2 linked regions of the Lytechinus pictus genome follow. The protein of the gene in region 1 purifies or fractionates together with the protein of each later gene. This does not show direct contact. Links are inferred from orthologs where the notes say so. Each region holds a gene or a part of one and is shown on either strand. Other genes may lie near its edges.

Region 1 (3,600 bases):
TTTGTGTAGATCTATGGTGGAAGTTTGATAAATTTCAAGAAATATGATTGAATGTACTGTAGATCTATAATAGTATGACTATAAACAGTGATTGGTAGTAAATATATGATCCACTAATATACTCTAGCCTAGCCTAGGCCTACTTGATCATGCACGAAAATTTGACAGAATTCAGAATATAATTAGAGGTCTAGACTCCGACTATAGATCTAGATCTAAAGCCACATACAACTTTTCCATCCTAAATCTGGCAATCCCTGGCATAATTTCGTGAAATAGGGAACACAGCAGTGTCTTTATTCGGTCACACGCATCGGTTCTCTAACGTCACTCACACGTATTGCGAGGTTAATATACTAACCTCCCACCATGAACCGCGTTTGGCAGTGGATTTCTAACTAGTAGTGGGTCGCGCGTGCTGCGATCCCACTTCTGGCAGTAGAGGCGCACGGCCAATATGGGAGACTCTCTCCAATAGGGGAGACAATCTCCCACATTGGAGACATAAGGGCCGTCTGCACCATCCCGAGTTTTCAAATTAGCGCGCTATTTCTGATCCGGCAAATTATCCCGATCTGAAAAATCTCGAGATAGTTGGCGGTGGAGACGCAATTATCGCGCTAGTTCGTAGGATTAATCTCGAGATTGCAATCCCAAGTCAACTCGGGTTTATTTGCAAAATAGCGCGCTATTTTACGAATTATCCCGCTAATTCGTCGGTGCAGACGCACTCGAGATTGGACTCAGGGTAATTTATTCATGACGTCAGTCCATAATGCAATTCGCGTTCCACTTCCGCCTTGGTCAAAACATAAACACGTGCGAAAGTCAACTTTATACATGCGAATAGCGTTCATCAATTGCCTAATAAGCAACGATGGTGTCCCACCAGTGAATGGATTTTGGGAGAGACCAGACCGAAGGGGGAGGCGCTCATCGACGATGGTCATATTCAATAACAACACTGACAGCAGTGTTGTCTTATTCCTTCGCAAAATGTGAGCAAATAGCATTTCTTTCCTCCTTCTCTCCCTCTCTCTCTCTCTCTGTCGTTGTCTCCTACTCATATTTAACGAAGAATACATCACTTCTTCACTCGCTGGGCTGAGAGGATTGTTGCATAACACCGGTCGAATTCGGCGAAAGTGCTAGTGAAAGGAGTACATTGCTTGCATATCGCGGGAAGTTATTCAAAAGCGCGGGCCGTTGAAACTCCAAGATCCGAAAGTGCGCATGCTCGAAATATCGGGTTTGTTGCCTCGCTCGAGCAGGAATCGCTGTCTTGCGATGGTGCAGACGGGGTTTCTTGAATCTCGAGATTAATCGCGAAGTGGGCCGATCGGGCTAAAATCTCGAGATTGAGCAAACTCGGGATGGTGCAGCACCACCTTTGCTTTGCAAAAGGACAAAAGAAACAACACCAACAATAGCATGATTTTTTCCATCCAAAATTTTGTCTCACTGAGGTCAGAAGCCCATTTGTTTTGTGTGTGATTGACAACGAAAATCCTTATCAAAACAAAAGTAGACGGTGAATTTTTAAAGTAGACGGTGAAAAGGGGCAATTTTTCATGAGGAATCTCCTTAGCACATTTTTATTTGCCGCCAAGGTAATCCTTTTGCAGCAAATGTAAACAAAGGAAATTGGTCTCCAAAACTGGAGACTGTCTCTGAAATTGGATAGGGGGGGCCTACCCAAATTCTTTACAAAAGTCTCTGATATTGGAGATAATCTCCCACATTGGAGACAGTCTCCAATATTGGCTGTGCGCCTCTACTGTCTGGTGTCCACAACACACGACTTCTTATCATCTATGGCTTGATTTTTCTGTGTGCGGTGGCATGTAATAAACCCTAACGTAATCCACCTCGACTCTGCTGACTAACGTTTAACTTTAACTTTAAATAATTAATGTTAATGTTAGAACTTAAAGTGCACGCGAACAAATAAAATAATCGACGAGTGGTTCCCGAAACCACAATTTGGCCCTAATTTTTAATTTTTAATATCTTCTAGTTCAAGATCACATAATTTATTTTTTTTTGCTTTTGGTAGAGTGGGCATGTATATGAAAGTCCCCTCCCCCCCCCCCCCCCCCCCACAAAAAAAGGCAGCGCAGCCGCAGGAATTCAGCGCACAGCGAACAAAGGATTTGGCCTTTGGCTTTGGGCTGACGCCGGGCAGGGGATGCGTTCCGCGACGTGCCACACACTGCACAGACTGACTGTGTCATGTCAGCGAGTGTGTCTTTTCCTACCACTAATTTGAGGCAAAATATCAATAAAACGAATTTTACTTACTTCAGAACCAATCATATATTGCTCTCCTCCTTCTTCAAAATGGAAGACATCGGGCTTCTTCCCGTATGTTTTTAGAGGTGTCCCCATTTTGTATCCTTTTCTTTCGTACTTTCCTTTAATATCAGCGCAGCCGAATCGAAATCACGAATGTTATCGTGAATGGTATTGGCGAATTTACTTCAGCGCCGCGCCAGCAATTAAAAAGAAAAAAATTGAAGGGGGTCAGTGAAGGCCCCACACCGCGGGGCACCGAATTAATTATTTACTAGATGATAGTACCGTTTTTCCACCCTACTTGATTTTTTTCGATTCAATCAATCCAATTCAATTTCAATTTAATAGTCTACGATTTAATTATAAATGAAAAAAATATATCTTCCACTGGCTTTCTCTTTTTTTTGCGGGGGGCAGATTTTACCAGAATGAGCCACAACAAGGGCATCATTTTAGTGAAATAACGGGGCATGTGTATAACTTAGATGTGAATATTAAATCAATGAGGCTTTGGGGAGGACTGGCACTGCCATTTCAATGTGGACACTGTGAAAGTACACAAAAGCATGTATATAAAAGAGGGTTATCACAGCGAGGAATGTAACGTCATATAGTGACAAGGCCAAAATCAAGAAAAACAGTTTTCTACCCTATCATGACAGTGATATATTTCAGGCATTTTAGGATTAAAAAAAGACATGACAAAATATTTGGTTAGATATCTGATTGAGGATTATGACTTGTTCAGGGTCCATTTTGGAAGTCCATGTGTAAAAGCATATGGCATCCACTTTGATATGTCACGAGACGTATATGGTCTTCATGAGTTTACTCCAGTTTGTAAACTCACGTTTTGCTTTGTTGGTATTTGTTTGCTCTCTCCCTCTCGCTCTCCCTACCTCCCTCCCTCACCTAGGAGCGGCCTCATCTCTCTATCCCCTCTCTCTACCCTCCCCTGTTTCTCCACCTTCTATGCATGCTTCTATCATGATAGTTGAAGAAACAATGTTTGTGAGTCAATTGGACACAAGGACCTATAACACAATCAGTTTTGCGGGGCACACAACTCGAGATGTATTAAAGGACAAGTCCACCCCAACAAATAGTCCACCTGAACAAATCAAGAAAAATCCAACCAGCATAACACTGAAAATTTCATCAAAATTGGATGTAAAATAAGTTATGACATTTTAAAGTTTCACTTAATTTCACAAAACAGTTATATGCACATCATGGTTGGTATGCAAATGAGGAAACTGATGACATCATCCACTCACTGTTTCTTTTGTATTTTATTATATGAAG
Region 2 (3,834 bases), on another chromosome or scaffold:
TAGAGATATGATGGCAATTCAACAAATACCCCCAACGTGGCCAAAGTTCTTTGACCTTACATGACCTTTGACCTTGATCATGTGACCTGAAACTCGCACAGGATGTTCAGTGATACTTGATTACTATTATGTCCAAGTTTTATGAACTAGACCAACACACTTTCAAATTTATGGCTGTAATTCAACAAATACCCCAATTTGGCCAAAGTTCATTGACCCTAAATGACCTTTGACCTTGATCATGTGACCTGAAACTTGCACAGGATGTTCAGTAATACTTGATTACTATTATGTCCAAGTTTCATGAATCAGATCCATAAACTTTAAAAGTTATGATGGTAATTCAACAGATACCCCCAATTTGGCCAAAGTTCATTGACCCTAAATGACCTTTGACCTTGGTCATGTGATGTGAAACTCAAGCAGGATGTTCAGTGATACTTGATTAACCTTATGTATAAGTTTCATGAACTAGGTCCATATATTTTCTAAGTTATGATGACATTTCAAAAACTTAACCTTAGGTTAAGATTTTGATGTTGATTCCCCCAACATGGTCTAAGTTCATTGACCCTAAATGACCTTTGACCTTGGTCATGTGACATGAAACTCAGGCAGGATGTTCAGTAATACTTGATTAACCTTATGGCCAAGTTTCATGAACTAGGTCCATATACTTTCTAAGTTATGCTGTCATTTCAAAAACTTAACCTCAGGTTAAGATTTGGTGTTGACGCCGCCGCCGTCGCCGTCGGAAAAGCGGCGCCTATAGTCTCACTCTGCTATGCAGGTGAGACAAAAAACAGTAAAAGGCAAATCTTGGCAAAAGTACTCCTCAGACAATAAAAATAAGTATAAATGGTACGCGGACAAACTTTTGTGCACATGATTCCGGTGCAAAAGCACAGGACAACAATTCCCATTACCCCAATCAAACTAAGCATGATACCAGGAAAAACATTCTGTAATAGTCGCAACGAAAAAGGTGGTAGGAGAACACAACTCAAAAATGTTTGACATTCATTGGGGATATATTGGTGACACATTTGCTGTTGCGACATTTGCTCCGGATTTAATATCTCAAGGGGCATGGGTTAGAGTTTGGATTGAGTTTTTGGTTCAGAATGATGTAAATATAAGGATTAGGGTTTATTTAGTTGTTTAATTTTGATGTTTGGCTTAACGGGCAGGTTTTACTCGGATGACCGCATGTCGAAAAGCTTCAGCATGTTCCTTTTATGCTACTTTTCTATTTCCATTTATTTTTTACAGACCATAAAGCAGCATTGTTGATTATAAAATGCCTTGATCAAAGGCATATACATGTAGGTACCACGCACTTTTAAGGTGCTTCAGAGACCACTCGACCACCAAACCTCTACAACCAACTTACCATGTGTAGATCTGGAGTTCGTTGGCTGGGACTGTTCCTCGAGAAAACTCGTGTTCCTGATGGTGACGATTGTTATTACAGAACACCCTCAGAAGAAGTGGACAGGTCTAGGAAAAGGAGGAGATAAAAGAATACACCAAGAATGAAGAGTGAGGCTATTACTTTAACGGGTGTATGGAATGTTTATTTATCCAATGAGGCAATGACGTATTTTATACCTTTACACCGGATCTACTGGAAAAATACAGTTGTTTCTGCAGACAAGTTTCCAGGTCAATCTTGTATGTTGTCTTCCTATCTAGGGTATTAAATTTCTCATTCTGAGTCTGTGTGCTGTAACATGCAGTGAAAAAGGTCACTGTTCCCATGGGTGGACATAATGCAACGAAGACCAAAACTTGTCTAGCTTCGTCTTGAAGCTATTGACCGATGATGCTGTCATTTGAGTTGCACCATAGCTAAATCCCTGAGTATACAAGTAGCTCATTACGCAAGTGAGCATAGACTGAATCCAAAGCCAGTCTAACCTCCGACTTCAGATGTTCAGCAATACAATTATCAAATTTACATGATTTATCAAAACTTTATGAACTTTTGAAATGTATCAAAATAATTCATTACTGTGATTCATTATCCCCAAGAGCCTGACCCTTTCATTTTCTCACATCACCCTCAGTCACTCACAGTACCGGTAGATCCATTTGCCTGTCAAGATCGAGCTGAAAATAATACAGCCATTCCTGATCACGATGGGCCTCACTCATTCAATGATCAAGTTTATGATAATAGTTATAATAAAGCTTTTAGACTCTATACAGCGCTTTATCAATCTACGACTACTCAAAGTGATTCACAATGATATCCTTGTTCTCTGTTAGTACTCTCTGTGTGGTGAAATAAAGTTGGCAATGTTTGGCTTATTTTCTCTTGTTCTTGGGGACAAATGCTATATTTTCTGATACTATTCATCATACAACTTGGCTCTCAAAGGTCAAGTCGCAACTCAGACCCTCACGCATGCGGATGCGATGTTTTCAAATCAGCAGCGAATTATTTATAAGAGTGAGGAACTCGATGCTGGCTCTAAATAACCAATTTTGCGGCTAACAGGAGGATGGATATGGAGTGAAATTAGGATGAAAAGTAAGAAATTTAGCTTCTTATTATTTTTAAGCTCATTTCGGTGTAGGATTTTTACAAATAAACATGCATTTTCTCCCACCTTTGTCACTCAAAGTATCAGAGCGAGTTCACCACATTGAGGTTCAGGTAGATGGAGCGTAGTGTAGCGGTAGTGAAGTGGAGTGGAGCCTGCACGAACCTCACTTGAGGTAGCTGCAACCGATTATTATTTGTGCCCTTTTTATTTGGGGAATCGGAAACATGCTGAAAAAAATTCCCTGAAATTCGGCCAGTGGCAGTGCGAAACTGCTTTAGCGCCGATCAATCGCAATTAATGCGAAACAACACCCCAAGCGGAAGCCCAATGCAGCGCACTCATCCAACGTCAACGACCAACCCGTGTTTGAGACTAGTCTAACGTTAACGTTACTCGTTAGGAAGTAGGAGTCGAGTATGGCAATGAGTCCAAACTTCGCGGACGGTCATTATCTAAAAAAATAGCCAATATCCTTTAAGGAGAATGAAACCCTTGAAACAAGCTGAATCCATATCAAAGAGAAAAATCAAAGAAACATATTGTTGAAAGTTTGAGGAAGATTGAATGAATAGTAAGAAAGTTATGAGCATTTGAATAATGAGATCACTAATGCCATGTAGATCCTCCTATTGGCAATGCGACCAAGATCTGTGATGTCACACACGTACAACTCCCTCATTACTTTAGTACTTATTTCACTTATATTCTCACTTTTATAGAGTCTATCACAAGGTGAGGTGTTCTCTTTATGAGAGGACAAGTACAGAGGTTTCACAACATTATATCATTGATGAATCGTTTGTCATATGATTAGAATGAGCAAAAATAGATGTTTTGGGGTATATTTTCAGTGTCCAAAAGGGGAGAGTTGTTCATCTGTGACATCATAGATCTTGGTCGCATTTAATTGCCAATGGGAGGATCTCCATAGCATTAGTGATCTCGACATTCAAATGCTCATAACTCTTCTATTGCTAGTCCTATTTTACTCAAACTTTTGTTGATCTTATTCTTTGATTTTTCTGCTTTCACAAAAGCTAACTTGCTCCAAGAGTTTCATTCTCCTTTAAAATCTGACATCATCAACGTGAAAAGCGACCTAAAAAAATTACCTTTTGGTGTAAGTTCCTTCAGGATGAGGTCAGTATTCATGAAAATATTGACAAAAGATCAGCAAATTTGTCACCGTTAACGCCCAGTTCCGAAGAAATCTGATATCCTCAACAAGCATCACAATATCATCATTTTGCAAGCAGATATCATCAAAAATGTGAGTTCAATG

Evidence for each region. Proteins that work in one complex are often made in the same cells at the same time.
Region 2: the proteins of SWI/SNF-related matrix-associated actin-dependent regulator of chromatin subfamily B member 1-like (region 1) and histone deacetylase complex subunit SAP18-like fractionate together in Homo sapiens (co-fractionation; 3 studies listed by BioGRID, with this or other methods). This does not show direct contact. The link is inferred for Lytechinus pictus from reciprocal best matches to the Homo sapiens genes SMARCB1 and SAP18.

What each region holds. Positions count from the first base shown.
Region 1 is NC_087246.1:18,204,810-18,208,409, reverse strand, and holds the start of SWI/SNF-related matrix-associated actin-dependent regulator of chromatin subfamily B member 1-like, read right to left. Parts: upstream 2,466-3,600; 5' UTR 2,389-2,465; coding exon 2,302-2,388; intron 1-2,301.
Region 2 is NC_087248.1:29,154,280-29,158,113, forward strand, and holds the start of histone deacetylase complex subunit SAP18-like, read right to left. Parts: upstream 2,413-3,834; coding exon 2,368-2,412; intron 1,501-2,367; coding exon 1,394-1,500; intron 1-1,393. UniProt on the Homo sapiens protein: Component of the SIN3-repressing complex. Enhances the ability of SIN3-HDAC1-mediated transcriptional repression. When tethered to the promoter, it can direct the formation of a repressive complex to core histone proteins.